Macaca mulatta: one gene and its partners. The protein of the gene in region 5 purifies or fractionates together with the protein of the main gene of each other region. This does not show direct contact. Links are inferred from orthologs where the notes say so. Each region holds a gene or a part of one and is shown on either strand. Other genes may lie near its edges. The genes, in order: UBR2, BCS1L, FAM241A, PLXNA1, NRP1 and KDR.

What was found.
Region 1: the proteins of NRP1 (region 5) and UBR2 purify together in Homo sapiens (affinity purification with mass spectrometry; 3 studies listed by BioGRID and IntAct, counting the BioPlex papers as one, with this or other methods). This does not show direct contact. The link is inferred for Macaca mulatta from reciprocal best matches to the Homo sapiens genes NRP1 and UBR2.
Region 2: the proteins of NRP1 (region 5) and BCS1L purify together in Homo sapiens (affinity purification with mass spectrometry; 3 studies listed by BioGRID and IntAct, counting the BioPlex papers as one, with this or other methods). This does not show direct contact. The link is inferred for Macaca mulatta from reciprocal best matches to the Homo sapiens genes NRP1 and BCS1L.
Region 3: the proteins of NRP1 (region 5) and FAM241A purify together in Homo sapiens (affinity purification with mass spectrometry; 3 studies listed by BioGRID and IntAct, with this or other methods). This does not show direct contact. The link is inferred for Macaca mulatta from reciprocal best matches to the Homo sapiens genes NRP1 and FAM241A.
Region 4: the proteins of NRP1 (region 5) and PLXNA1 purify together in Homo sapiens (affinity purification with western blotting; 4 studies listed by BioGRID). This does not show direct contact. The link is inferred for Macaca mulatta from reciprocal best matches to the Homo sapiens genes NRP1 and PLXNA1.
Region 6: the proteins of NRP1 (region 5) and KDR purify together in Homo sapiens (affinity purification with western blotting; 7 studies listed by BioGRID and IntAct, with this or other methods). This does not show direct contact. The link is inferred for Macaca mulatta from reciprocal best matches to the Homo sapiens genes NRP1 and KDR.

Annotation. Positions count from the first base shown.
Region 1 is NC_133409.1:139,480,458-139,485,062, forward strand, and holds part of UBR2 (E3 ubiquitin-protein ligase UBR2), read right to left. Parts: intron 2,790-4,605; coding exon 2,680-2,789; intron 2,572-2,679; coding exon 2,491-2,571; intron 2,168-2,490; coding exon 1,989-2,167; intron 888-1,988; coding exon 688-887; intron 1-687. UniProt on the Homo sapiens protein: E3 ubiquitin-protein ligase which is a component of the N-end rule pathway.
Region 2 is NC_133417.1:123,899,347-123,904,735, reverse strand, and holds the start of BCS1L (mitochondrial chaperone BCS1), read right to left. Parts: upstream 3,481-5,389; 5' UTR 3,468-3,480; exon of another isoform or gene 3,435-3,467; coding exon of another isoform or gene 3,295-3,434; exon of another isoform or gene 2,486-3,294; intron 1,963-2,485; 5' UTR 1,914-1,962; coding exon 1,594-1,913; intron 1,496-1,593; coding exon 1,356-1,495; intron 1,146-1,355; coding exon 951-1,145; intron 708-950; coding exon 644-707; intron 388-643; coding exon 218-387; intron 15-217; coding exon 1-14. UniProt on the Homo sapiens protein: Chaperone necessary for the incorporation of Rieske iron-sulfur protein UQCRFS1 into the mitochondrial respiratory chain complex III.
Region 3 is NC_133410.1:121,399,477-121,404,596, reverse strand, and holds the start of FAM241A (uncharacterized protein FAM241A), read right to left. Parts: upstream 3,209-5,120; 5' UTR 2,996-3,208; coding exon 2,843-2,995; intron 1-2,842.
Region 4 is NC_133407.1:156,974,669-156,979,882, reverse strand, and holds the start of PLXNA1 (plexin-A1), read left to right. Parts: upstream 1-2,040; 5' UTR 2,041-2,090; intron 2,091-2,406; exon of another isoform or gene 2,407-2,469; coding exon of another isoform or gene 2,470-2,553; exon of another isoform or gene 2,554-2,638; intron 2,639-5,013; exon of another isoform or gene 5,014-5,214. UniProt on the Homo sapiens protein: Coreceptor for SEMA3A, SEMA3C, SEMA3F and SEMA6D. Necessary for signaling by class 3 semaphorins and subsequent remodeling of the cytoskeleton. Plays a role in axon guidance, invasive growth and cell migration.
Region 5 is NC_133414.1:34,717,925-34,723,002, forward strand, and holds the start of NRP1 (neuropilin-1), read right to left. Parts: upstream 3,128-5,078; 5' UTR 2,638-3,127; coding exon 2,565-2,637; intron 1-2,564. UniProt on the Homo sapiens protein: Cell-surface receptor involved in the development of the cardiovascular system, in angiogenesis, in the formation of certain neuronal circuits and in organogenesis outside the nervous system. Mediates the chemorepulsant activity of semaphorins.
Region 6 is NC_133410.1:78,388,625-78,393,229, reverse strand, and holds part of KDR (vascular endothelial growth factor receptor 2), read right to left. Parts: intron 2,680-4,605; coding exon 2,565-2,679; intron 2,478-2,564; coding exon 2,314-2,477; intron 1-2,313. UniProt on the Homo sapiens protein: Tyrosine-protein kinase that acts as a cell-surface receptor for VEGFA, VEGFC and VEGFD. Plays an essential role in the regulation of angiogenesis, vascular development, vascular permeability, and embryonic hematopoiesis.

The DNA of each region.
Region 1 (4,605 bases), on a different chromosome or scaffold from region 5:
AAAGAAGTGCTCTGGGAATTTCCAAGACACAGTTCCTATTCTCAAGAAGTTTACTGTGTATCACTCAAGCATATGCACACAGAGCACAACCTACAAGCAGAGAAATAAATGTGTCAGTGGACAAAATCATGTACAGACTGGATCTCCCTGCTTTACTTCCTCAGTTGCTGAAAGAGGGCCCTCAACTGTCCTGCACAGTAATCTGTATCTCAAGAATCTGCTTTCTGGGGAACCCGATCTGTGGTGGTATCACTATTCTAAGTCAGAATTTGGCTCAAGGATTGCCTCTTACATAGGTAACTCTCTATCACTGTTCTCAGGAGATTCCACTCAGGCTCTATCAATAAGACAAAGCAATTATTATTTCAGTGTGTCAACAAATGACCAAGGCTTTGCAAGTGTACTGAAGCATGGGAAAGACTGTGAAATGCCAAAGTATGTAATGTTACATCACAAAGAAAAGCTTTACTTTGAATCCCTGCTATTTATCAGCTATATGATTCAGATGTAACTTTCTGGAGTGGTTCCACATCTGCCAAGTGGGGAATTCCTGCCTAAGTTACCTGCCAAAGATACCATCCAAGTCTATGGAGTCATTCTTAGATTTAAAAAATCTCAATGTATCATCAACCACATTAACTGGTAGTTGTTATTAATCGGGAAGATGAGGATCTAGCTATGACTTACCTGGATCTTGAATAAATTTACTTCTGTTTTTTGATAATACAGTTGATCTCTGAACAAATGCTGCCAAGACCATTGCCCTGCTTTCCACTTTAACTTCTTGCTCCTCTTGACACAATATACATGTAACGAATTGTCTTTGTTCAGGAACCTGAGTTTGTGTGGGGCCCAGCGCTGTAAGTGTCATATCTGAAACCACAGGGCTGCAATACAAAGGTTATGAATATAATTAACGATCCCAAAAACTTTCTACATAATCATAAAATAGCAGACTACAGGTATGTATGTGTGCATATACATATATATCTATATATTTTTTAAATTTTATTTTTTTCTTTTTGAGACGGAGTCTCGCTCTGTCACCCAGGCTGGAGTGCAATGGTGCGATATCGGCTCACTGCAAGCTCCGCCTCCCGGGTTCACGCCATTCTCTTGCCTCAGCCTCCGGAGTAGCTGGGACTACAGGTGCCCGCCACCATGCCCAGCTAATTTTTTGTATTTTTTAGTAGAGACAGGGTTTCACTGTGTCAGCCAGGATGGTCTTGATCTCCTGACCTCGTGATCTGCCTGCCTCGGCCTCCCAGAGTGCTGGGATTACAGGCATGAGCCACTGTGCCCGGCCCACTTTTATTATTTATTTATTTTTTTGAGATGGAGTCTTGCTCTGTTGCTTAGGCAGGAGTGCAGTGGCATGATCTCAGCTCACTGCAACCTCCACCTCCCAGGTTCAAGCGATTCTCCTGCCTCAGCCTACTGACTAGCTGAGATTATAGGTGCACACCACCACGCCCGGCTAATTTTTTTTTTTTTGTATTTTTAGTAAAGACAGGGTTTCACCATGTTGGTCAGGCTGGTCTCAAACTCCTGACCTTGTGATCTGCCCGCCTCGGCCTCCCAAAGTGCTGGGATTACAGGTGTGAACCACCGTGTCTGGCCAGGCATGTATATATTTAACACATGGTTTTGATAACTTGGATTGTCAAGTCTTTGGTATGTATCAAAACCATCTCCTTTAATTCTCACAGCAATCTAATCTGCAACACAGATGTCACACACTCTAGATAACTGAGTGTAGTGTACTCATTCTTTCATGAATGTCCAAGATCTTCTGCAGAAAATACCCTACTATATTACCATATCTATATTCAGAGATTTCTAAGATTAAATCTTCTAAATGGAGGTCACAAAATTTACCTACGAATTCTAATAAATTACTTTAGGTTTAAAAATATACTTACAAGGAAAAAAAGCAACACTGCCCCTAGTTGGGAACAACTGGTCAACAAATTAATTTTTTTTAATACCTATTATCAAGAACAGCAGAGGTTGAGGCATCCAGTTCTAATGTCTGCTGAAAGAGTTCTTTGTTTTCATCAATAAAATGCCGCTGCATTTCAGACATCTGAGCCATGATCTTTTCTCTGCGCAGTCTGGCAATCTCTGCTTTTCTCTTCCTCTCAGCTTTGTCTTTGTCCCTTGAACTCTGAAATTATGCTCCATTCAATTAGACCATTAGATGCTAAAACACACATTTTTTTCCAAAGCAGAAATATCTTTATTGTAAATACCAATTAAAAACTATTCTACAATCTCACTTATTTAAACAAGAGAAAAGACTCTTAAGTTGACCTAACATGTTTTAAAGGAAAAAAGCAGACAAAAAATTGCTACAACAAATAGAGACAAATAGTGGCATATTTGTTGGAATTTCAATGTTGTAACTGGCAACTTACTGTAGATAAATTTAATTTGTTCATACTGAACTTGTTATAATTTTTTAGCATTATCACACTTTACTGTTTATACCTCTTCCATTATGGTTCCTTCTGTCTCTGTCACGGGACTGGTAGGTGAACTCTCCCTCATCTTTTTAACAGCATTAAAAGTCTACAAAAAAAAAAAGTATCAGTATCCTGTATGAAATATCATCACAATGTACACGTAACAAATATTTAATATTTCTCACAAAAAGCAGAAGAATGTAGGAAATTTTACCTTCAATATCCACCGAATCATGTCTTTGTGGACTTCTAGGTAGGGAGCATTTTGTAGTGTTTCCAGCATAGCTAGTATGCTAGGAGAGTTTTTTGGCGCTTCACCAGGTTCTATGTCAGAAAAATAAAAGGCACAATAACAACAGCTAACACTTCATAGTACTTATTCCTATGCACAGGAACATAAATGCAGTTGCTTATAACACCTATTGCCCATAATTTGATTATGACTCTACCAAAGAGATTTTCAATACTTCTTGAGAATGTGACATATGTGCCTTTTACAAACAAGCTGCCAACAACTAGAATTCTTTAAGCATTCAAAAGTGACTTTTAATAGCAAACGAATTTGCTAAAATGTATTTTAGCAAAATTATATATAAATTCAGCTAAAAATAACTGGTGTACTTGAGATTTTACAGGTCTAAAAATAAACTAGCATTAAGAGGTGCACATATGTACAAATACGTTTATTTGCTCTGACCATTGCCTTTAATAAAAACTAGATTCAGAATAAAATGAATTTCTTCCCCTAGGAATTCACTGTTTATTTGAATATAAGAGTTAAGTCCATATTTTCTATTAGTCTGTAGTCAGAAATGTTCAATTATCGATTTTCTTGATTTTGGTGCTGCCATTCTGGAAAAATGTGCCTTTTTCCTAAGAGGGAAGAGATTGACCTTTGTGATCTTTAATATTCTATCACATCTAAAACTCTGTGGCGTGCATTAGGGATGTGACTCTAGATAAGGGAGAGGTTTCTTTGCAAATAAATCGTGTGTCTTAATTATGTAAAATGTCTAAAGACAAATTAAGAGTAATGTTGAGGGAAAATGATGATCGTTTAATAAAAAGGAAAGAGAAAGTAAGAGAGAACCTAATATATATATATATATATATTTTTGAGACAGAGTCTTACTCTGTTGCCCAGGCTGGAGTGCAGTGGTGTGATCTCAGCCCACTGCGACCTCCACATCCTGGGTTCAAGCGATTCTCCTGCCTCAGTCTCCCGAGTAGCTGGGATTACAGGTGCCCACCACCATGCCCGGATAATTTTTGTATTTTTGGTAGAGACAGGTTTCGTCATGTTGGCCAGGTTGGTCTCGAACTCCTGACCTCAGGTGATTCACCCACCTCGGTCTCCCAAAGTGCTGGGATTACAAGCATGAGCCATCGTGCCTGGCCAAGAACCTAATATTTTATAGTGATGAGTGAATGAAATTAGGGAGTATTCTGTGTGGTTATCCTAAAATAAACACACCAGAAACAAAGAAAGCAAAAACCACAGTATTAATCCATAGAAACAATACGGTAGAGAAAAAGAATAGGTAAAAACTGGCATCCATGAATAAAGTGTTCAGTGGGGAAAGGTGGTTTCTCCTCTTTCTCTCATTTACTTGGATGAGAGCAAAAAGGAAAACTAGAGATCTAGAAGCAAACAAAATTACTCCTCCCTGTCCCCTGGTAGCATAATTCTCACAGTTATCATTTAGGAAGAAATGGCACTGAACACATTTACAGAAATAATCCTTTTTAATCAAAGCATTTATAAACTCCTATCATAGCACCATAAATTCATTTAAAAACACCTCAGCAAATAGCTGACTACCGGTCTGTGGCAGGGAAAGTATAAGATGAGCTTGGGCATCTTTTGGGCCAGAAAGTGAGGTGGTACTTTCTGGCCCAAATGGGGCTGGGTGAAAAGGACACAGAAACTGACTAAATAAACTCCCACTGATCAAAGTGGGCATGATTTGAGCATCAAAAGGAATAATCATTATAAGTGACTATAAAACACTGAATAAGTAAAATGAATAATATTTTAAAAAACTCTAAACAAAAAACATTCAAAGTTGCCACAATTGCAGGTAACTATCAGGCCAATGGCTGGTTATGAAAATTAGTAAATGAAAAGCTTTTCTTTGAG
Region 2 (5,389 bases), on a different chromosome or scaffold from region 5:
GTACTTGACTGGGTCTGGAGGAAGGCAAAGATAAGGAAGCATGAGTAGTCATAGCCCAGCATAAAATCAGCATGCCCCACTATGTTCCCCTACTTATCCATGCGTCTCATGGGCTCTTGTCACTAACCCAGGCATCCTCCACCAGCCCTCTGGATTTCTGTTTTCTTCCCCTGTTCCACAGTTACTCACTCCCCTTCCTCCAGAACCCCTCACTTACTCTCCACAGCCAAGTCTCGACTGAGAAAAGCAGCATCCACATCCTCCAGGAGCACCAGGCTCTGCTGCGGGGCCACGCTCAGCAGGTGGTTGAGCCGGTCATCAGAGAGGCTAGAGTCTGTGAGGCTCAGCAGGCAGATGCTGTGCTCCAGTTCCCCAGCCAGGGCTGTGCTATGGAGGATGGGATGGCAGGAAGTAGCAGGCAACCTGGAAATGCTTCCTCAGGCCCAGCTACTCTCCTCACAGTCTGGGGACTTGTGTCTCAGAGGCCTGATTTCTACCTCACACCCTAATGTTCCACACATTTCATGTTTATCCTGGTCCCCGGTCCCAAGTTCCCAGATTCATTTCCCTTTCCAACCCCATCAGCCCAGCGTTTCCAAAAAGGCTTCATTTTGCCAAGTTAAGAGAAATTTTGAATACTCACATAAAACTGCTCTTTCCGCAACCAGGGGGCCCATAAAGCAGGTAGCCACGTCTGTAGGGAATGCCTAGGGATAGAGCCAGGATGATCATGTCTTTTGCCCCAGATATCTATGTTCATTCCCAGCCCTGGCCCCTGGAAGCCTGATAATCTTGGTACAGAAGTAAATCATTCTCATACACAACTTTTCATTCCTCTTAATCTCTGGGAATTGGACTAGAGCTTTATATCACCTCATCTGGCCAGAGACCAACCTGTCCCCTCTAAAAATGTCAAAAACAGCACAGCCGAGACCCCAGCTGCTTCTCACCTCTGTCAGTGTACCACTTGGGGTTATCGATGAATTCCTGGACATCTCTGACAATTCGGTCAGCCAGACCCTGTTGCAGAACCACAGAATTCAGTGGTCGCCGGCGGCGTGGATAGCCAAAGGGACGCCATTCAGAGCCCACAGCTGTGTACATCACGGTCTTCCCTTCCTCCTGCTGCAAGGCTAGCTCTCGAGCTGGGAAGGAGAAGAGATAAAGCCAGTAATTCTCTTCACCATGGCTGATTCTTCAGTTAGGTGGAGCTGAGCCAAACAGCTTCCTTCTGGCCCCCTGTTCCCATGGGCTCACCACAGCCTGCTTATTCCACCTCTCCAAACTGCTCATCTGATGTCAAATGTCCCCATCCCTGCAATGTCCCGAGAAAGCCTGCCTGTGCCATCCCACACCTTCCTCCAGGATGTTGAAGAAAACCTTTCGGTCAGTGCCCAGGGCCGTGAAGGTGACAGATTCCCAAGGAGTTCCCGTCTGCAAGTCTATCATCTGCATCTCTCGACTTCGTTCTACCCGGATCCATTTCCCCCGATACCTGAATAAGAACGATCAAAACAGAGTGAGTGAATGGGTCAAACCCAGCTTCCATCGTTCTTTTCTACTCGCACAGCCCTCCCTAGCTCCCAACTTTACCAGATAAAGTGGTTTCCAGGGCTGGGGACAAATTCAAACTTAGTAGAAATACGGCCGCTCTCATGCTGAAGGTACGAAGTCTCGACACTGAGGTGCTGAGTACGGGTACTGTGGCGGGTGAGCCAGCTAAGCAACCAGGCATAGCTCCTGTCTCGAGCAGGGACTTCCAGTGTGATCATGTAATGGCGCCGGAATGCCACCAGGCCCAGTTGGGCACCCTTCCGGGCCAAGGCCAGGGCTGTGCCCACACCCACCAGCCCAAATCCAGCCCCAAAGTAGGGATTGTCCTTCAGGGCCAGAATAAAGTCTGAAAGTGGCATCTTGAAAGGGAAACACCAAACCTTACAGGACCTGGGGTGTTACAAAAACCTAGGGGTGGGGAACAGTGGAGAAGGGACAAAGCACAAGATTACTTTAGAAACTGGACCTCCCCAGCCCTGCCCACAGGTCAGCACTACTGTGTGGGTCAATATCCTCCTTTTGTGGGGTAAGGGTAGTGTTGGAATGCAAGGGTGGAGACTCCAGGCCCCTCATCCCATTTTGCCCTTCATTAGTCTACTCATACCTGTTTCCTACCAGAGGACCATGTCTGGAGATGCCTTAAACCAAAAAGAGTTATATAAACTGGCTTCACATCAGGATAATGGATGGACAAGATTTTTGTCGTCCCTGGGACCAGCTTTGATAAAAAGGGGCCCACTGGCTGCAGTCAGCAAAGGAGAAGCATCCATTGACTTGTCAGTAACCCTATGCCTTGTTATGAGTAATGTCCTTCAAATATCCTCACCCTTACATCCCCAATATCTAATGTCCTGTTTATACCTTTATTACCTCCCACCTAAACTGTCTTTAAAATCATAGTTCTTGAAATGGCATTTTAAAAGGTCTTCACCTTAGGCCGGGCGCGGTGGCTCAAGCCTGTAATCCCAGCACTTTGGGAGGCCGAGACGGGCGGATCACGAGGTCAGGAGATCGAGACCATCCTGGCTGACACGGTGAAACCCCGTCTCTACTAAAAAATACAAAAAAACTAGCCGGGCGAGGTGGCGGGCGCCTGTAGTCCCAGCTACTCGGGAGGCTGAGGCAGGAGAATGGCGTGAACCCGGGAGGCGGAGCTTGCAGTGAGCCAAGATCACGCCACTGCACTCTAGCCTGGGCGGCAGAGCGAGACTCTGTCTCAAAAAAAAAAAAAAAAAAAAGGTCTTCACCTCTGGCTTCACGGAACAGCTACAAAAGGGTCCAGATCTTTCATCATAGGGATAAGCTCCAATTCCATCTCTCTCTCTGCTCCAGCACCTTCAATGGCTGGCTCCCAACAGACCCCTGAACTGGGTACAAACTCAGCCTGGTACTCAAGGCCCTCTACAATACGGCGCCCACCTACCTTTCATGGATTAGCTCCCAACACTACCTGTTCAGTAAATATGCAAATACGCAACAAATATGTTCAACAAGTAAGCAACCTCCCAACTCCTTGTTCATGCAGTTCTCTTGGCTCGGAATGCCCGTTCTTTTCTCCCTCATTCTCCCCAACTGAAAATCTGCCCATCTGCTACTTTCTCCACGGATCGTCACATTGTAGACAATAAGATCCTGAGGGATAAGCGCGAAGTTGTTTCTAGTACACCTCTCCTCCAACCCCGAACCCCGGCCACTTTGCCCTGCCCCTGGCATGCAGGGAGATGAGCTGACAGCAGAGACCTCGGCTGAGCCTCAGAATTGGTATCCAGAATTCCAAAACACCTATGCATGGAAGGCCACAGACAAAGCTCTCCCGCCTCCGGCCCCTCTGCGACACCCAGGAACCTCGCCCACACCCCAGCTCGCGCCTCCAGCCACATGCTTTGGGGTAATCCGTCGCTCAGCCTTCTCACCGATACGACTCTCTGGCCCTCTGTCTCGATGGTTTCACCGCGCCTGCACTTTGGGGAAGCTGCGCTCGGCCCCGCCCCGGGTCCTTTCATCGACTTCCCGCCACACCCACCAAGAAGCCCGCGCCACTCTATCCCAGAGCTCTCGATGGTGCTTCTCCGGCTTCAGGGCTGGAGTTGGGGTGGAGGGCGGGAAAAACCAGAGAGAGAAAACATAGAGTACCCCGGCAGCCGGCAAGAGGAAGAGAGAGTGGCTTCCACATCCCCAATATCCTAGAGGCGGCTGGGCCGGAGGCGGTCGCACAAAGGGGGCACCGGGGGCCGCTCCAGCCGCGGCCGACCATAGAGATGCGGCTCCAGCCGGCTCGGGGTGTGGAGGTGAGTAGCTGCGGGGCGGAACTGGGAAGGGAACGCGGGTGAAGCAAGCTGGAGGCAAAGTTTTTCGAGCCCCGGGATCAGGGTGGGCCTGGGCTCTGGGAACTCTCGGGAGGAGGTACTGAAGGGAGCACCCAGAGGAGCTGGGCCCCGGCACCGCAGTTGCGTCACGCTTCTGGACCCCGCCCGGTACCCGCTGCTCTCAGGACCAAAATCATGACGATGCTCCATCCCAAGCCTTCCAGGTTACAAGCCGCCTTTCCCGTTCGCTGGCTCTTATGATCCAGTTCTCGCCCGACGATGTGGACACTGTCATCACCTCCATTTTACAGACAGGAAAGCTGAGGCCCAGAGAAGCGATGCGACTGTGTCTGTCCAAGGCTACGCGGTGAGTCAGAGCCAGAGGCAAGTGGGAACCTGGGTCCCTGGGCCGGGACCCGTTATTTCTCCAGACCTCCTCTCTGCCTTAGTCTGTCCTTTCTCTTCCTCAGTCCTCCTGCCCGGAAGATAAGCGTATTTCTTCTCTCGTGCCCACCTGTCTCCTACCTCACCTTGCCCTTCCTCAGGTGAAGGTTCTTAATCTTGACGGCTCAGCGTCCTCCTTGGCTCCCCCCGGAGGCCATGTATGGCCAAGCTGGAAGATTCCCCAGAGCAGCGATAATATTCAGTAAGTGGAGACTGCGGTTTCCAGAGAATCCCTCTGGCCACGGGAGTGCACACTTCCCAGCCACCTTGTGAATCCCTATGATCTGTTGTTTTGAGTCGTGGGATTCTGGAAATAGGGACTATCAGATTGCAGGATCTTGGGTTTTGTTTGCTTGTTTGTTTGTTTTTTGAGACGGAGTTTCTCGCTCTTGTTGCCCAAGCTGGATGCGATCTCGGCTCACTGCAGCCTCCACCTCCCAGGTTCCAGCGATTCTCCTCACTCAACCTCCGGAGTAGCTGGGATGATTACAGGCGTGTGCCACCACGCCCTACTGTTTTTTTGTACTTTTAGTAGAAATGGGGATTCACAATGTTAGCCAGGCTGGTCTCGAATTCCTGACCTCAGGTGATCGGCCCGCCCGATCCACCCGCCTCGGCCTCCCAAAGTGCTGGGATTACAGGCGTGAGCCACCGTGCCCCGCCTGGTTTCTTCTTTTTTTTTTTTTTTTCTTTTTGCATCTTCTCTGTGACTCAATTTCATGAAGTGATTCCTATCATTCTTATTAATTACTAATTATTCAGCTTAAACTCATTTTAGCCATGTATAACAGGGTATGCAATTTAATTGTCATTCATTTCTCAGTTATGTTCCCATATTTAGTTTGAGGCCATAGTCAGTTAATGAGTTTGAAATTTCTACAAACGTGTTATGCTATAGGTGAGGAACCACTGGTTTAGTGCAAGATACCTAGCGTTACTCCAGTGCAGCTCCATGTCTGTGCTTCTTCACTGGAAGCTTCGATTGTGGGTGATTTGTGTTCGTTGAAGTGATAACATCAGTATCACAAAGTGATGTCATTGAAGTGATAATGTCAACAAATTACTAAAAAGCTACACATCTAGGG
Region 3 (5,120 bases), on a different chromosome or scaffold from region 5:
ATCTACGGGACTTGATTCATTCTCCCAATGCCTTCTTTCTTAAGTGACTTGATTTTAACCAGGCCTCCTTTGTCAGTCACCCTACCTGGAAAGACTCAGGCCAGAAGGACAGAGGGGAACCTTCTTTTTTTGCTCAAATGGAGTAGCATCTAAGGACAAATTGTAAAAAATGATGCAGACAATATCTTAACTAGTAATAAAACACCTATGTTAATACTAGCATTTCAGTATTATATGAAATAAATAACAAAATAAAGATACATTTTGTTCTGGTATTATAATAACAAGCTGATCAAACAGCCTTCCAGGTTGAGGAAAAGGAATGAACCTTTCAGATAGAAGTGGAAAGAAAAATCAGTGAAGGAAGGGATGTATGTGGAGGAGGCTTTAGCTTGAGAAATAGCCCAAGAAAGAAACCTCCATCAAATTATCAGGAAAGGGCAAACTCTGTGAGGGGAATAGAAATAGAAAGGGACTTAGTACAGAAAAGTAGGTGTTGACAAAATCACTGAAAGAGTTAGAGGAGCACAAGTCAGGTGCCTCTGGAGTTACCGAGTTCAAGAGCATACAACCATAGCTCTTTTCCGGGTTAGAAGGAGCGCCTCTGCTAGCTCCTGCCTCTAATTTCCTCTCAATATCCATGAGGCTATCCATGACTCTGGAACACCAAGTGAGCGTGCCAAGCAGAAAAGACGGCAGGAAGATGGCCTCTGTCTCATTTCTAGCTAATTAGTTTTGGTTCTGTTTCTGTTTATATCATGGTTTTCATGGAAAAGTTCACCTTAAGTTCTAAATCATTAACTTAGAAACCAATCTTTCAAAAATATTCCATTTGTAATCTGGCGTCCTTGTATCCTTAAAACCACCAAGAAGACAAACAAAAATCATCTCCTTAAATAAAAGCTAAATAAAACGAGTCCTTGGGATATGTTCCATTGTTGTTAATTACATTTCTCCCTCAAATATCTTTACACATGTAACGCATAACAGTTTTACATTTACAGGACTTGAAAAAAAACAGCAAGGCTTTATATAATATTACCAAGAAACGATTTATCAGAAAAGTTTGCTTTTTACACCAGTGGGTTGGGTTGCACCAAGTTTTTGCTTATTTTTGGCTTCTTGACAAATTCTTCTTTGCTGCTAATGTAGTAGGTAATGCCTATCTCAGAAGTGATTTTTAATTATTGTGTATGGGGGCTTCGAATACATTAATAAATCTTGAGGCAAAAAGAGAATGATAAAAATAACACTTCAAAAGAGTACAGGAAAATGAAAAATGAACTTTCATGACATTCAATGAAGGAGCAGGTATGCAAAGTGATATCTGTTTTCTAAGATATACATTTCATTTTTTGTTTTATCCTTTTACTTTGTAACATAAGCAATTTTGGAAAGACCACAGCTATTAGTGATGTCTACATAATCATACTAATGAAGTGCACAGAAGCTTAAATGAAGTATTTTATATGCTCCCTTACAACCATTTGAAAATTTACTTTGGAAACCCCTGCTCAAATGCACCCCCTCCCCACCCCCAAAGGAATTCTTGTGCTGTCTTCTTCACTTTTCCAGTTGAGCAATTTAAGCTAGAGGAAACCAAGCCCTTGAGCAACTGAGTACAGTTAACGGGAAAAACCACTAGGAAGGCAATCAGAAGAACTAGCTACCAAATTATTTGCTTGAGTCATTTTCTCTTATATTGTCACAGATGAAAAATTACACTCCACGTGGTGAACAAACCTAACGCTAAGGCATATTTTGTGTGCTGCACAGTGTTACTCTGTTTCCTAAGTAACCTATTGAAACAATATAAGGTATACATCTATTAACGCATTTAGTGATGATACTGGAATTTGTGAAATGTGACAGAAAGGATAGATGAAGAAAGATGAGGAGAGACAGGTATTAATTGTTCTAACAGTACAGGCTGTAATAAAGGCCAATAATCATTTGAATTCCTGCGCCTTAACGTGATTCTAAAGATTGGCTTACCTCAGGTATTTGGAAAGTCTAAATACTGTATTTGCTGTAGAAAATTCATCCAACATACAATTCAATTTTAAAATTAAACCTTTTGTCTAATCTTTAAGATATCTGATGTTATAATGCCCATTATCACACTTTATTTAAATGAGATCAAACTCAGCGAGTTTAAAAAATAACCCAACTTCTCTCTTCCCTTATTATGGCTGGCCTCTTATACTTCTTTCTCTTTAGTATAATGCTAACCGAAAGCAATATTCTTGCCTCTCCACTTCTTAACTGAAGCTTTGATCTCATCTGTGTTTATGTGAAGAACTCGCTCTGGGAGAGTCCCTGTCAAGACATCCATTGTAACACCCGCTCCTACTCATGCTTTCAGCGCTGCCCTTGGACGGAATCCACCCACACCTTCCAGACACGCTAGGTGTGGGCTCGGAAACGCAAGATGGAGGGCGGGAGGGGAGTCCCGGCGCAAGGCACGGACTCGAAGTTGAAAAAGAAGTGTTTACAAGTGAGGCTTTTAAATAAATCACCACTATGGAGGGCATTTCCTCCGAGCCCTGGGCGCCGGCCTGAGAATCCTCTGCCGGACGCCAGGGGACTGGCCACACTGACCCCGTCAGACACGCGACCCCGCGGCTGGCGCTGGCGTCCGCACTCGCGCGACCCCGCGGTTCCTCCCGGGAGCGCCGTCTAACCGCTCCCGGCGGCGGCTTCCCAGAGAGCCGCGGAGCCAGTGCCCCACGCGGGGCAGAGCTGCGGCGCGGCCCACTGGCCTGATCCCTTCCCTCCACCGCTGGGCGGGGCTCGCGGCCCCAGACCCTGACGCTCCGCCGCCGCCCCTCCCCGCGCTCACCTGCTCGTTCTCTTTCGGCCGCTGTCCGCGCCGCCGCGGGCTCGCATCGGGATCCCGCTCGGTCCCTGCCGCCGCCTGCTCCGCCAGCGCGTCCCCGTCCTCGTCGCGCTCCCCGCCGTCGCCGCCCCGCAGCAGCTCCCTGGCTGAGCACATCCCGCCACCAACTCCTGCCGCCCGGGACAGCCGCCGGAGGACCACGCCGCGACGCACTAGGGAGCGCCGCCGCCCGAGGGCTGCCCTGCGATCTGCCGCACCCGCAGCTGACAGGAGCCTCCGGAGCGCGCCCCGCCGGCCTGGGCGCCTGAAGTACCAGCCCGGCCCCTCCTGTCACTGGCTCGCCCAACCCCCGGCTGTCGGGGCGGAGCCATACAGGGGAGGGGCCAAGACAGGGGGCGGGGCCAACGGGGTGTGTTGGGGGGGATGTGTGTGAGAGATTGAGAGGCCGACAGACTGAGAGAAGAAGGGGGTTGTGTGAAAAACTATGGACATAGACTGCATGAGGGAGATTGTACACGATGAGAGAGGCTGTGTGTATGTATGAGGGACATTGTGCGTGTGTAAGAAACCATTAGAGAGTGTGAGACAGACGTTGAGCGTCATTTGTGTGTGTAAGAGAGATTCTATAGAAAAGAAACTGCATATAAGAGATTGTATGCACTTTGGGAGGCCGAGGCGGGAGGATTGGTTGAGCCCAGGAGTTGGAGACCAGCCTGGGCAACCCCGTCTCTACTAAAAATACAATTAGCCAGGCGTGGTGGTGGCATTTTGATTCCAGCTACTCAGGAGGCTGAGGTGGGAGGATTTCTTCAGCCCGGGAAGTCGAGGCTGCAGTGAGCAGAGATCACACCACTGCACTCCAGCCTGGGTGACAGAGCCAGACCCTATCTCAAAGAGAGAGAGAAAGAGAGAGAGAAAGAAAGAGAGAGAGAGTGTATGTGTATGCAAGAGACTGTGTGAGAGAGAGACTGTATGAGGGAACAACAGAACACAGAGAGATCAAGTGTGAAAGAGAAACTAGTGTGAGAGAGCCAGTAGATATATTTAAGAGTGCATTTGTGTAAGAGATGAGTGTGTGTGGGTTTGCATGTGAGAGAGAAACACACATACACCCAGTTACACTCTCCAGCAGGGTCCCCCTGTTCTTGCCTGAGTAGCTGCCCATCCTTTTCAAGGAACACACATTTCACTGTCCCTCTTGTTCCTTTAGCCTCCTTTCCTAGTGTCTCACTGAAGGTCTGTGTATTTGTCCCTTTCTGTTGAGTGCTTCCTAGTGTGTGTAGTTTATTGGAGCCTTGGGTCGTTTGATGGTGTATCCAATGGTGTATCTTTCTATAACTGGCTAAGAATACATCTTTCTTAGTGGGTGGTAAGGGGAATATATCCAATTTGTAATTCTTTTTTGTACTACCCCATCCATTTTGTTCAAGGAAAATGGAGGGGTGTTTAAATAAAATATACTTTTTTCTGTGTATGCCTTATCTGTACATTGAGAAAGCGATGGGTTATTGTATAGGTAAAATATCAGAAAAGTAAATATGGAAAGTAAACATGTGTACACATGAAGAAGAGTAAGAGTTATTTGGGACCTTCTATTAAAATGTTTTCAGGCCCAGAAAAGGAATTAAAATAGGCAGAATCCCATAGGCTTATTTTTAAGACCTGTTTCCTGTTTTTTGTAGTCAGGAGACTCTCAGTCTTTCTCACACACCCACAATCTTTCATACCCACAATCTCTCTCATACACACATGATTTCACATACATATAGTTTGTCTCATATATATACAACCTCTCGCACACACCATCTCTCACACATAGTTTCTCACACACGCCCTCTCTAATTGTCTCTTCCACAAACAGTCTCTAGGGGCCAGAAAATATGCTATTGGATATCAAAAATTAGAAAGAAAATGAATCTGGCTCATTCCCTTTCTTAAAAGTCTTTAAAACCCCAGAAGAGAGTATTTAATATTATATACGTATAATCAGAAACAAATGTCACCATGGGAACCCAGTAGCCTCTCTGATGACCTCATTATTTTTCCCCTAAAGACAACATTTTCATTCTTGGAATTTTGGTTTGTCTATTAGTAGTGTTTCTTATAAAAACCAACTTTTTTTTTGGCTGGGCACAGTGGCTCACACCTGTAATCCCAGCACTTTGGGAGGCCAAGGCAGGCGGATCACAAGGTCAAGAGATGGAGACCATCCTGGCCAACATAGTGAAACCCCATCTCTACTACAAATACAAAAATTAGCTTGGTGTTGTGGCACACGCCT
Region 4 (5,214 bases), on a different chromosome or scaffold from region 5:
CTTCACTAGCCATGAGGCTGGATCTGTGCCCACATGTGTGTCTCGGCAGTCCATGAGGAAAGAAACCTCTCCGGTCTTGTTTGCCAGGGAAGGGAGGGGAAGTGCAGCCCAGAGGCTGGGTCAGGACCACAGACTGGAGGAGCCAGACTCCTGGGGTTAGCCTCCCAGCCTGGTCTCCTACCCAGTGGGGAACTTGGGCACGTCTCCAGCCTCAGCCCACCCATCTGTAGAAGGTAGCAGAGCCAGCGCTGTATTAGTGCTTGGTAAATAAAATAATATATATAACTTTTGAGGAAGATGTTCTGCCTCATTCAGGAATATGTAAGTTAAAACCACAATGAGGCTGGGCATGGTGGCTCATGCCTGTAATCCCAGCATTTTGGGAGGCCGAGGCGGGCAGATCACTTGAGTTTGAGTTTGAGACCAGCCTTGCCAACATGGCAAAACAAAAATTAGCTGGGCATGGTGGCACATGCCTGTAATCCCAGCTACTCGGGAAGCTGAGGTGGGAGGATCACTTGAACCCAGGAGGTGGAGGTTGCAGCGAGCTGAGATCGAGCCACTGCACTCCAGTCCGGGTGACAGGGTGAGACTCAATGAGCCTGGGTGCTGTGTCTCATGCCTTTAATCGCAACACTTTGAGAGGCTGTGGTGGGAGGATCACTGGAACCCAGGAGTTTGAGACCAGCTTGGGCAACATAGAGACCTCATCTCTATGTTGAAAAAAAATTAGCCAGACATGGTGGTGCCCATCTGTAGTCGCAGCTACTCAGGAGGCTGAGGCAGGAGGATGGTTTGAGCCTAGGAGCTTGAGGTTACAGTGAGCTCTGATTGCACCACAACACCCCAGCTTGGGTGACAGAGCGAGACCCTGTCTGTCTCTAAAGGGGAAAAAAAAAGCAGACAAGCAAAACCACCTAGTGAAAAACCAGTTCATGCCACTAGATTTGCAAAACTAAAGAGTGCCAAGTATTGGTGAGGATGTGGCACAGCCAGACCCTTCCACATTCCTGCTGAGCTGCTGGGAGTGTAAACTGGGACTTTCACTTGGGAAGACGGTTTTGCTGTATCTCTTAAAGCTAGATATATCCTACCCCATGACCCTGCAGACCATCCCTGGATCTAAAGGTGCCCACTGAGAGGCATGCACAGGATGCTCATCATAGCTTTGGTCATCATGGCCCCAGGTAGGTGACAATTCCATGTCCATCAGCAGGAGAATGGGTGAGCAGGCGCCCAACGCGGCAGAATACCACAAAACAGGCTGCGAGGACGATGCCTGCGAGCAGCCGCCCTGTGCCCCTCACCACACAGAGCAGACGGAGAAAACAGCACAGGCTGAGTGACCCCGTTTCCATAATACCCAAAACAAGCCAACCAAACAGCGTCCCATTCTGGGATGCAAATATAAGAGGTCACACCCAAAGAAAAGCAGTTAAAGATGAACACAAAAATGAGGGTTGTGGCTGCTCCTGAGGAGGGAGGAGCAGGGTGAGACTGGGAGGGACACCTGGGCCCGGTATGAGTCCCTTCCCTTTCCCTCCTAACCATGTGAACTGTAGAGGGTTCCTCTTCTGTAGGGGTGACGTGATTCACACAGCAAAAACCGCACCCCACAGGCTACAGATGGAGGCCCAGTCCCCAGCCGGGTTTTCCTGGCCCTTTTGCTCTGTTATTGATGCTCCCGCTGCCGGCTTCCCCTTGGCCTGGTTGCCCTCCACCGGGACGCCCTCCCGGATGCCTCCCGCCTGCGGGTGGCGGTTGTGAGTACAGTCACCGAGTGCTGGGTGTCTGCCCCTCAGCCTTGCCATGCAGGCTGGGGGTATTGCCTGGGCAGCTCCGGCTCGTCACCCTGGACTCTGCAGCCCCACCCCTCGCACCCTCCAGACCCGCTACCCCTGGCTCAGCCGGAGTTCGCGTCTCACCACGCCTCTGCCACGGGACTTTCCTCCCTGGGCCGCGTCCCCAGCCAGGAATGCGCCACCAGCCTGGGGCCTGCAGGGGGCGCCCGGGCTCCCCGCGCAGGTGCCCCCCCATCTGACAGAGAGGAATGCGCGAGGCCGAGAGCTAGGAACACCCGGCCCCGCAAGGTCTGGGAACTGCGACTGCCTCCTTCAGCCTCAGTTTCCCCTCCCGTGAAAGGAGGCCATGCTCCTAGCCCGGACACACTGAGCCAGGCCCTGTTCCCGGAGTCGCGGGCTACCCCGCTCGAGGGCGGGTGGGCTCCCGGAACTGCTCGCGCGGCCCCGGCACCCAGAGAGTTGAGGCGGGCAGCCGTATCGCCCTTTGAAGGCGCGCGGTGGGCCCCTGCGGGCGCGCGACGCGGGGCAGAGCGCCCTCTGGAGGCCGCCGCCGGCCCCGCCCCCGCCCCGCCCCCGGGCTCTGGGCGGCGCATGCGCGCGGCGCGGCGCTCCGCGGGCGGCGAGAGCGAGGCCGGTCCGCAGCCGCGCGGCGCTCGGCGCCCCATTCATGCTGGGCATCGGCGGCACCACCACGCAGCGGAGCCCGGGCGCGGCGGCGGCCTCGGCCTGGGCGGCCTGCGCGGCTTCGGCGGCCCCGCGGCGGGGCGGGCGGCGGCGGCGGCGCGGGCGGCTGGGCGCGGCGATGGCCGGCGGCGGGGCGCGCCCCGGGGCGGCGGGTGAGTCGGGGCGCAACTTTCCCCGCGGCGCGGGACGGTGGGCGGGGGCCGGACCGGGCGGGGATCCCGGGCCGGGCGGCCAGTGGGTGGGCGCGGGGCGGCCTCCGGCGGCGGCCCTCTCGTGAGGCGGCAGGCAGGGGGTGTGCGCGGGGACTGCGGCGCGCGTGTCCGCGGCCCGCGTGTCCCTGCGGCTCCGGCCCAGGCGTCCGCGTGTGTCCGGGCGCGGCCGCGGCGCCGACGCGGAGAGACCGCACCCCCGTGCGGCGGGGCTGGGACCGCGGCCCGGGGCTCAGCGCCGCGGCCTCCCCCGCCCCCCGGCCGGGCCCGCCGAGCCCCGCGGCAGATCCGGGGCGGCGGGGGGCGGGCGCTGCCCCTCCGCAGACGCTGGGGATAAAGTTTGCGGCGGCCCCGCGGGGAGGCCCTTGCGGTGCCCAGGCCCGGCCCGGCCGCTGGACCTCGGCTTGGACCTCCGTCCGCGGGCGAGGACGGGATGGCCAGGCCTGGGTTGGGATCGGAGCCGCCCGGCAGGGCCGCGGCGGCCGGAGGAGGTCGTGCGGGCTAAGCCCCCGGCCAGCCCTGGGGCGCGGGGTGGAAGTTGGAGCCACTTCCCGGGACCACCGCTGCCACCGCCCCCTGTGGCCCGGGGTGCGGGGAAGTGGGCTCTGGGTGCCGCCTGGGAGGCCGCCCCGCTCGGGCCTCCTCGGCCTCCCCCTCTCGGGGCCTCTCCAGGGTCAGCCGCTTCCCCCGGAGGCTTCCGATTGCTTCCTGGACAGTCCCGGGCCTGGTGTGCGGCGAAGCTGGAGGCGGCGGGCAGATTCCGGCTGCCAGGGGAAGGGGGAGTGGGGACTCCAGGGAGGCCCCTCAGCCGGCGTGAGGTCCCAGGTGCAGCCCTGGAAAGGAGGGGAGGGGTTCCGAGGGGCGGCCCCGGGCCGCGAGCTGCCCCCGACTTCTGTGTGGGGTGCTGGGGCCACGCCCCTTGAAAGAAAGGGGTGTGTGTGCGGGGGAGGGGACGTGGTCGAGCCTCTGTCCTCTCAGCGCGGCTCCTTTGGCTCGGGCTGCTCCTTGCTGCCCCACCTCCTTTCACACGTAGCCGGTTTTGGGTTCGGTGCAGGGATGGGGCGCAGTCTCTGCTCCCCGGGCCCTTGAGGAGCTTGCCTCAGGTCCCCTCACCTTCCTGCGGTTTGGAGTGTGCGGCAGAGGCCAGGTGCTGCACCAGGGGCACCAAGACGCTGCCCAGCCCTTGAGGAGCACCAGCCCCCTGCCAGAGGCAGGCGTGTGAACCAGTGATTCGCTGCACGGCCAGGCTTCCATTCCTGGGGGGTGCCGGTGGGGCCCAGGAAGGGCGTTTTGGGCAGAGAGGACAGCACGGGCAGAGGCCTGGGTTTGTGGCCTTGGTGTGTGCTCTGGGGGCAGGGGACACATGAGGTGCCTGTGGACAAAGCAGACAGCCCTTTGCTGGACTCCTGGCCCCCCATGGTCGTTGCCTGCTTGTTTTGAGCCCCCAGGAAAGGCCCCCGTGCACACAGCAGCTTAGAGCAGCTGGCCGGGAGGAGAGGATGCCCCAGGGGAAGGCCCGCAAAGGTGGGCACTTTTTCTCAAGAGCAGGACTCCAAGGCCTTCAGATCCAGATTCCCTAGGACTGGTGGGGAGCAGGGCCACTGGGACCACCTCCCATGACCCCCGTTGTGGGGGAGGCGGGGTGCCAGGAGCAGCTCTCTTTCCCCAGCTGCTGCTGTGAGCCACCGGGCAGGATGGCAGCCCCACACCCCAACCTGCCTGAGCCATAGCAGGATCCGGTGCAGGAGGACTTGGGGGGATTGGACTCTCCCTTGTGGGGAGGGCTTTGGGGGCCTTTGTTTCTCAGGGTGAGAGGGAGCTGTGGTGTCACCCAGGCCAGGAAAGGAAAGGGGACACTGCTGGCTTGGCGTTCCACCAGGCGGCGATCCCCTCCTATCCAGGAGACGAGCCCCTGGGCTGGGGCTCCTACCCGCGGCTGCCAGGTCTCTCTCCGCCTCTCTCCCTGGCTAGCCCCATCAGCATCCCAGCACTAGTCCAGTCTCCCCCGCCCTGGCTCTGGCTCTGCCTCAGCCCAGAACAGCTTTGGCCATGCCGGAGAGCCACAGCCATTCTTACTGCCCTCTTTGCACAGCCAGTGTTTCCCACCCCAGGCCTTTGCTCCTCCTATTCTGCCCCCCACCCCCACCACGAATGCCCACCTGCACCAGCTTCCAGGCTACCTGGTCCCAGAGCAGGTGGAAAGGCCCTTGAGGACTTTCCCCGGCCACAGTGGCCAGCTCTGCTCCTCGGTAGAGTACAGCATCTGCTGGTGCTCCCCTCCCAGCCCCAGCATGGCCCCTTGGCACGCTGGCACCTGGCACCTGGGCCCAGCTTTGGAATGAATGCATTTTTTCCTGGGCAGACCCAGGCCTGTGAGAGTTGAGCCCTGCAGGCTGGCTGGCCAGCCCAGTCTCTGGAAGCTCAGAATTTGGGCCCTGTCCTGCTGGGACTAGTTGGGTGACCTTGAGTCTGAGCCCCACGTCTTATACCCCTAAGGTGGAAGAAGTAGCCCAAGCATT
Region 5 (5,078 bases):
CAAGTGAAGCCAAATAAACCAAATAAACTAGTCTCTGGACTGCCTTATTGTTCAGCATAGATTCTCATTGTCACATTTTATGATGGATTTCATACTGGAGCACCTCAGCCTGAAATGCTGCCACATTTACTGATGCTTAATTTTGAGCAATAAAAATTCGGTGCATAAACTATACAAGAGAAACAGGTATGAAAGCAGTGAAATATATAAGCCTATCAATCACAAATTTTCAGTAATGGTATATATAGATTTTAACACTGCATCTAATAGATTCTCTGTGGAAAGAGAATGGCATTCTTTGCTCTCAGCATGAATTTATAAATCTACAGAATTTTATTACAGGAAAACCAGGTCAAATGGAAATGAAAGATGAAGTGCACATCAAAAATGCGCAAAGCTACATGCATCACAGAAATCATTTCCCATAAATTAAAAAAGAAGACAATATAAGTTATATTGTTTTTCTCAATCACTAGGTGCTTGACTTTGTTCCTTAGACTGGGGGTAGTCTTATTCTGGTTTCCTTTGCATTGGCTTGTAAAAGTGTAAGGTTTGCCAGGAAGAAATGATGTTGTAACTGGAGTTCAAAATCTCAGCTAATGATCATGTTGGACTCTGTTCTGTGATTCTACTGAGACTCTTGCATTATTCTGAATGTGCAGAAAACTTGGAAAGTGACCTCGTCTCATTAAGTCTCCTCCAGCTCTGGACAAACATCATGGTAGTGTCTGGCATCTGTTACAGGAGTGAAATAAAACAGCCCTGGTTCTAGTCACTCAGCAGAGTCACTTCAGAAGACATTTAGGTGGACTTGGTACCACACCAGAGCTCTTTAATCTGTGACTTCTGAGAAAGTGACAGTGTAATAAGATAATGTGGACTGCTAGACTCTCTGGCTCTGTTAAATCTCTCTAGCAGTTGATTAAGAAAGAGCAATTTCTAATGACTCTGGACCATTAGTCCTAAATAAGGTTAATGAACTAATTTAGCAGACACTGGTTACTTAGAGGAGGTGGACATGGCTTTAAGAGGTTCTGCTGAGTTACAGTGGCATTTTCTGGCTCTGGTCACTTCAAGCATAGCAACATGGCTTTTGCTGGTCAAGCTCACCAACTAAAGCCAGATTTTCAGCATTCCCCATATTTCTGCTAAGAAAATTAAGAAGTGTGTGTGTGTACTGCATATATATTTGTGTAGTTCACAACCTAAAGTCTGATAGCTCTTTGCATTGAGCTTGTGAACACCCCTGCTATGGATTTATTCTCAAAGAGTTGTGGAGGACAGGGTTACTATAATTTCTAGTCCAACCATTTGAGCTCTTTCAGTTGGACGAGAATGCTATTTCATTCCCTGCCAGAGTATAAAAAGATGCTACCAGCTCAGGTTCATTAATAAATTGAACTCTACATTCATAATTTTTTGTGTCTTGCTTTCCTGCCAGATTATAGAAAAATGCCATCAACTTGGGTTCACTAATAAGTTGAACTCCATGTTCATAATTTTTTTTGCATGTGTTTTGCTTTAAGCATCTCTTTAGAATACTGCTTGGTAGCTGCTGAGGGAAATCCATTGCTGAAATCACAAAACCTTGAAAAAGCATATTAGAGAGATTAACTTCCATCATAAAGATGTGATTTAAATTCCTGTTGGTATGAGGGCGGTCTCTTGTTAAAACAATATACCACAGTAAGTAGTGGATGTTCTTTTCTTCTAATTACTGTGATTGAAATCTAAGCCAGACAAAAGTAAATATTTGATCATTAGTTAATAACAATTGCTGACGACTTACTGTAAAGATAATTGCATACCCTTGCCTGCACTTACTTTACAGTGTGAAGTCAAACATGCCTACAACCAGATCCCATTTTAAAACACATTATTTAGGTTACATGGTACTGTTTAGACCCCAGTATAGTTTTTCATTTACTTGACAGTGAGTGGTTTTAAAAGCTGAGTGGAAGCTGCAACTAGCTTAGGGATTTTCAGATATCCTGGTGCCTTACACTGTATATATCAGATTCCTGTATTGATACTATGTAACTTTCAGTCATACTCCAGACAGATTAGGGAAGATGTACAAAGGCGGGGGAGGGAGTTTCATCAACCCACAAACCGATATCTCTGGCCATCACCCACCAGAGGAAACGGCTTAGGGGCACAGCAAAGGAACCAGGAAGTAAGATCTCCTGGTAAAGTGTTCATTAACTTTCAACAGCCATCAGATTTTTGAAAGGGAGTCTCTTCTAATTGCCTTTGGGAGGAAACATTATTAAGATAATTGGCGTGCTGATCCGGGAAGGTAGGCAGCTCTGTCTTGTAGCAGAGGTAAGGAAAAGCCCCGCAGCCCAACGATCAACGTCAGGAGGGAGCCCAAAGACCTGAAATCCTCCTGCCCTAAACCGCCTGATCTCATTTCTTCATCTCTCCTCCCAGATAAAAGTTTCCTTTGCCCGGGAGTCGGCTGTTCCCGGCTGATCCCGGGAAGCCCCGCCTGAGCCCCGGTCCGGGGCGGGCAGCTGGGAGCCTGGGCGCCGCTGTCACCCGCGCCTCCGCCTGTCACTTACCGTTGCGAAAAGCGCCGGCCGGGGCGAGGGCGAGGGCGAGCGCGGCGCAGAGGAGCGGCAACCCCTTCTCCATTCTCCCTTTGCCGGGTCCGCAGGCAGACGCGGGAGAACGAGGACGTGGGGGGAAATGCAGCAAAGAGGGGAATCCAAGCGATCCGAAGAGCCCCAACTCCGCCTAGAGCTGTACAATCCTCAGCCCGTCTTGGAGAAAGGAAAGCAGCAAGGCAATGCCTGGATCCGAGAGGAACGCTTCTCTTTTTGTGTCTCAAGTCGCCTGCATCCTGTCATTTAGCTCCGGCTTCCTCTCCCTTTTCCCACACTTGTTCCTCTTCCAGGAGCCACTGCCCGGGCCATGTCTCAAAAAAAAAAAAAAAAAAAAAAAAAAGGGAGGGGGGGCTGTGGGTGGGAGGGGGAGGAGGGAGGTAGGGCAACACACACCAAAGCCAATTTCCAGGAAGAAAAAAAAAAAAAAATCCGGCTTGTTTCTGGACCCGTTGGAGCCGCGGAGCTGGCGCCCAGGGGAGGTCCGGGTGTCTGCGGGAAGGAGAGGAACGAGCAATGAAAAGATGAGCGGGAGACAGAGGAGTTTCACCAACTGCACCCCCTCCTCCCCTCCTGCGGCCTCCCCCCACTCCGGAGCCCTTCCCTCGCTTCATCCCGCCCCTCTCCCCGCTCGGGCTCGCCTGTAATTGCCTGACAGGAGACTGGGAGGAACAACTTTCCCTCCGAGTGCTCTCCCCGTCCGTCTGTCTGTCTTTCCCGGAGATCCTGCAGGGATCTCCGCGGGAAGGAAGGCGCTGGGAGTCTGCGCCCCGGGCGCGTGGGTGCGGGCGTCGGAGGAAGGGGCGCGGAGGTCGGTGCCAGCCGCGGAGTCTGGCCAGCCCACCTCGCGTGCTCGCTCTGCACCCCTAGAGGGAGAGCTGGGCAGCTCCTGGAGGCGTAGATCCCGCTGCCGCGCAGTGCGGAGCGCCCGGGAGGTGGCGGCTGCTTCTCGCAACTTCAAATCCTGGGGCCCGCGCCCGCGGCGGCGAGGAGCGCAGGGTCACCCCCTGCCACTCCTCATCGCGCCAGCCTGAGACCTGTGGCGGGGAGCAGTGGGGCACCCCTGGAGGCCCCCGCCCAGAACTGGAGGACGAGGAGGGGAAAGCCGGGCTGGAGTGGAAGCCGCACCGCGAAGACGGGAGAGGGGTGGCAGTGTCGCTGCAGTGTGAAGCGAAGTCAGACCGCCTGGCGGGCGAGGCCGGGTTACAGCCCCACGCGGCCTCACTGGCCCGCATCAGGGCGCGCGGCTGGGTGCCGATCGCTCCCGGGTGCCCTCTGCGCGCCGCGGAGGCTTCATTGTTTCCCGAGATTTGGTGCCCGTTCCTCTGGGGCAGAGGGAACACCGGAGGGGGGAGGTGCTGCGCCTTCCAAGCTGGGGGGCAAGCGCCTCCCGACACCACCCAACCTTGTCTGGGAGCCCAGGTGCTAGGGAGGGGTGTGGAAATCAGGGGTCGGGTGACCTCCGTTTCTCTGTGCATCCGGAGGGAGGGAAAGAGTGACGGGGGAGGGGTGCTCTTGGCTGCGCCCTCACAGTGCCCGCTCCCAACCACAGGCAACGTGCACGCCGGCCCTCGAGCTCCTGCCACCCCCACTTCCCACAGCGGCGCGTGCCCCCAGCCCGCTGGATGCCCCCCAGGCCCATCTCCGAGGGTTTTCCGAGAACTGTTGCAGGAAGCGTGTGTAGATGGGAAAAGCAAGGACATTTCAGGGAACAAACAGGTTGCGGTCACCGATCTGTCCCCAGAGAAGGGTCAATGCCCACGGGCCACCTCCCAGGGAGTTTGTGGGTAAGGTGAAAAGGTCACACACCTCCTGGGGATTGGCGTCTACACACACAGCCAAAGTGCAGCCTGATTCCTACCTGGCACAAATAGCTGGCCAAAGGGAGGTAGGAATGCTGGCAAGGAGACTCTGGTCAAAGGTTTTGGCGGAAGAAAAAGGGGCGGGCAGGGAGAAAGCCCAAGGCGCGCGGGCCCCAGGCCAGGACTGCGCGCTCGCGGCTCCGGCTGGGCGCAGTGACGCGCGTCCCTCGGGGTGCGGGCGGGTCCCGGGTCAGTGGGGGGTGCACCCGTGGGGCCCGCACTCGCCACTCTCTCGCCCAGGGTCAAGCCTGTCTTCTCCTCCCCACGAGCCCCGGGATTCCCGGTCGCCTAGCTGGAGACTCGGCCGCCCGGGCGCCTCCTTCCTCTGCTAGTTTCCTCCTTCTTCTCAGCTGTCGGACCCTTGGAAGGCGCGGAGTGGGAAGTGGGCACAGAAGGGCTGGGAGTTAAATGCCTGCGTTGAGCGGAAGAGCAGTGTCGAAGCCGTGGGCAGCCCCGCGCCCAGACAGGCGGGAGGCGAGACAGGGGCGCCGACCGCGCCCAGCGCAGACCCCGGGGGAGCGAGAGCCGCAGAGGCAGCCCGGGCTCTCGGCTACTACCCGCGCGCGTCGCCGCCTCCCCAAATGCAGCCCCGCCAGTCCCAGCCCCTAAC
Region 6 (4,605 bases), on a different chromosome or scaffold from region 5:
TGGGGGCTCATGCCTGTAATCTCAGTATTTTGGGAGGCCAAGGTAGGTGGATCACTTAATCCCAGGAGATCAAGACCAGCCTGGGCCACATGGTGAGACCCCACCTCTACCAAAAAAAAAAAAAAAGAAATTGAATAAAATAACAAAATAAAATAAAAATGGCAATAAGCTAATAAACTAACAAGCTGAATGACTTTATGCAAGTGTTGGAATCCTGTGCCTCTCATCTGCATTACAGAGATAGTTCTCTCTGTCCTCTCAAGTTCACGAGATCAGGGGAAGGCTACAGAAAATAGCTGAAATAGCACAGTAAATACATTTATTATGTGCCAAGCATTGTTTGAAGTGCTTTGCATGAATTCATTCACTTAATCCTCACAACCACTATTACTATCCTCAGCTTTATACACGAGAAAAAATGAAATACAGAAAAAAATGACTTGCCCAAGGTCACTCCGTTAACAAACGGCAAAACCTGGAACAAACCTAGACACTCTGACTTCTGAACCCAAACACGTAAACCACCTCATGTTAAAGGAAGGCATAAATCTTTAGAGAATGCATTACTGCCACCACCATCTGAGTCTTTCATTCCCTCTCCCTCTTCCTCCCTCCCTCCCTCTCCACTCCCTTTCCCTCTTCCCCTTTCTTCCTTCTCCCTTCTCTCACTTCCTTCTTTCTTCTCTCCCTTTTTCCTTTCTTTCTTTTTTGACTCCAAAGTCAAAACTATTTCGTTACTACTGTCAACTTAAAGCCTCAGGTTATGCTTTCAAGACTTGACTTCTTTTTTATGTTTATTTCACATAGCAGAGTATATGCTAAAGTGAATAGAATATTTAGTGGCTTCATGAACTGATGAAATGGGCTATTTGCTGTCCATGTTTTGTTTTTATTTCCCGTTCATTTTCTCCTCCCATCCTACTTATACACTTTCCAGTTTCTCCTCTCCCCAGTCCCCTACACCTATGCTGCTTCTGAACAACCTCTGTGGAACCTGTTATCTTGTTTTTTTTTTTTTTTTGAGACGGAGTTTTGCTCTTGTCGCCCAGGCTGGAGTACAATCTCAGCTCACTGCAACCTCCACCTCCTGGGTTCAAGTGATTCTCCTGCCTCAGCCTCCCAAGTAGCTGGGATTACAGGCGCCCACCATCATGCCTGGCTAATTTTTGCATTTTTAGTAGAGACGGGATTTCATCACGTTGGCCAGGCTGATCTCAAACTTCTGACCTCAGGTGATCCATCCGCCTCGGCCTCCCAAAGTGCTGGGATTACGAATGCGAACCACCATGCCCAACCTATCTTTAAAATATTCCCTGAAAAAAAAAATAACGCCAAGTTCAGCAGCCTACAGAAGAGTATTAGGACACATAGGGAAGCACCTTAATGCCATGGGAAAATATCCTGAAGTTTTAATATGCCATACCAGAAGGGGGAACAAAGAATTACAACAGAGAAGCATTTCTCAAACTGTTTGGAGTGAGAGATTAATGAATTTGCTCAGGGGAAAAACGATGCTCCAGTCAAATAGGTTTGTTAAACCTTGAATACTCTATGTCTCTCCCCCTAGAGAATACCAATATACATTAGTATATAAAAGGTTCTGAGAAGTCCCTGTAATAAAGAAACCTGTTACACATCTACACATCACCTTAGCACCTCACACTCACTTGACCATGGCACCCTTCTCACCATTCCATTCCAAACACTTATTTGTACCTTTCAGTTTCAGAAAACAAAGTTCAAATCATCTTTAAATCAAAAACGTACTATTTTGCCTTTACAGACTCAAAATCAGACCCTGAACTCCTGTCAAAAAGGAAAAAAAAAGCCCCCAACCAAGCCAACAATGCCAACTTCAAAAGCCTTCAGAGTAGGAATCTGCCTGTACCTCACTGATACATCAACTATAATATCAAACTAGAAGCTTTGCACAAAATCTAAGGAGAAGGGTCTTACACATCTGTGTGCCAGGTGGGCAATTCCATGAGAGGGGAACATTGTAGTATAACTTAACTTGACAACTATCCCTGTGGGCATTATTTTTTCACAACATTTAAACTATCGAGGGTATCACTACTTTAATCTTGCATTTGACCACCACAAAGCTCATTTACATGGCCTCTTAAACAAACATGGCCAGAGCACACAGTCCTACATTTCACTTCAGCTTCACCACCCCAGATGACTTTTGTACATAGGCCCGGCCATGATGTGAGTGAAGCAGCTGGAGGCAGAGGAATGGTGGCCTGGCTGATTAGGAAGACAATGTATCATAATAAATCTTGGGCAGAGAGGAAAACTGAATGGACTCACCATACACAACCAGAGAGACCACGTGACTCTGCTTCTCCTTTGAAATGGGATTGGTAAGGATGACAGTGTAATTTCCTGTGTCTCTTTCGCTCACTTCCATGATCGTCAGTACGTGCCCCACTTTAACTGTGTGATTGGACTCAAGGGGTATTCCATTTTTATACCTATGAAAAAGAATTCTCAGGAATTAGTACAGTCGAAGGATTTGCTCTCACATGAAATGATGCTTTGTGTTTATTTCTAGTAGTTACCATTTTATTTCTGGGGGCGGGTAACCAAGGTACTTCACAGGGATTCTGACACGCTCCCCCACCGTGGCTTCCACCAGAGATTCCATGCCACTTCCAAAAGCAACAAAAGGTTTTTCTGCAAGAAATTTTTTTTTAAAGGTCAGCTTATTGTAAATGGTCGTTTGGTTTAGTTTTTCATTTCAAGTGAAACATCAAAAACATTGAGGGTCTGAGTAGCTGCAGTTCCAAGATTCCATGTACTACCTTTTAGTGGGTCACATTTCAGCTTCTCCCACACCTCCCGTGTTTCTCCCACACCTCCTGTGCTTGCATTTGCTTTTCTCTCCCCACTAGTGCACTCCCATAAGCCTAGTGATTGCTCAAGTCTCAACTCAAACACTTGCTCCTCTGTGCAGCTTTCTCTAAGTCCCCCAGAGATGCTTGGGTGCTCCTTCTCCTCTGCTCCCAAGACACACTCCACACACCTCTTCCACCATGTGTTAATAGGCCCGAGGACTCAGTCTTCAGACGTCCTCTTTATTTACACCTTCCTCTAGCCTCAAGTTTAAAGTAGCATTCACATACCTCCTAAATATGTGCCTTCTGCCCTGACTCCTCTGGGTTCCAGGTTGATATATTAAACATTTCCACTTGGATGTTTCATAGGCATCTCCAGAGAAACATATCTAACACTGTTTCCCTAAATTTCACTGCCTCCTCGATCTTTGCCATCTCAGTAAATACCACCACCATTTACTCAGTTGCTCATGCTAACACTTGGGTCATCTTCCACTCTTTTTCCCTTATACTCCACAACCAGTGAATTGATCAGCAGACCCTGTTGACTCTACCTTTGAAATATATCCAGAAGCAGATCACTTCTCACTATCTCTACCTCAACTACCCTTGTCCAAGCCACTCCTCAACTCTCACCTGGATAAACGTAATTAGCCTCCCAACTAACCTCCTTGTTTCTGCCCCTATTTCCCTGAAGTATCCTGGAGAACAAGAGTACTTCTATCAAAACATAAGCCAGAGCACGTCTCTCTCTGTGTATTTTGGCAAGTGCATCTTGGCAAGTGAAATAATTTGAATAAATTTAGGACACTTAGTGATTTCTATTTTGTTCATTCAGAAGAAACTTTCAAGTTCTTGCTAGGGAGGCCACATGACCTAGAGGTCAAGAGCATAGCTTTGTAGTCAGGAACTTGAGTTCCAATCTCAACTACTAAGATGAGATGAGCTAATAAAGTAAGGGCTCACTAAATCATACTTGTTGTAGTTGTTGCCACTTTTATGATTACAACTCTAATAAATAGTATTATCTAAGGTATTTTTACAATTCCACTTTACTGATGCATTCTCATGATATAAAATCCAAAATCCTTTCCAAGGCTTATAAGTAGGATGCCACACAAATTACCATGTAAACTCAGACATTTATGTAAATGAAAGAGAATTAACAAAAAATTAAGGTGATTTACTCAAAGCCAGTTCAATTTAATTCCAGTTCAATTACAGTTGACCCTTAAACAACATAAATTTGAACTACATGAGTCCACTTATAAGCAGATTTTCTTCCACCTCTGTCACCCCTGAGACAGCAAAACCACTGCCTTCTCTTCCCACTTTTCCTCAGCCTTCTCAATGTGAAGACAAGGATGGAGACCTTTATGATGATCCACTTACACTTAATGAGCAGTAAATATATTTTCTCTTCCTTATGATCTTCTTAATAACATTTTCTTTTCTCTAGCTTTATTATAAGAATACGGTATATAATACATATAACATATGAAATATGTGTTAATTGACTGTTTATGTAGCAGTAAGGCTTCCAGTCAACAGTAGGTCATTATTTACATTTTGTGGAAGTCAAAAGTTATACCTTGAATTTTTTTTTTTTTTTTTTTTTGAGAAGGCGTTTTGCTCTTGTTGCCCAGGCTGGGGTGCAATGGCACAATCTCGGCTCACTGCAACCTCCGCCTCCTGGGTTCAAGCAATTCTTCTGCCTCAGCCTCCTGAGTAGCTGGGATTACAAGCTCCCACCACCACGCCAGGC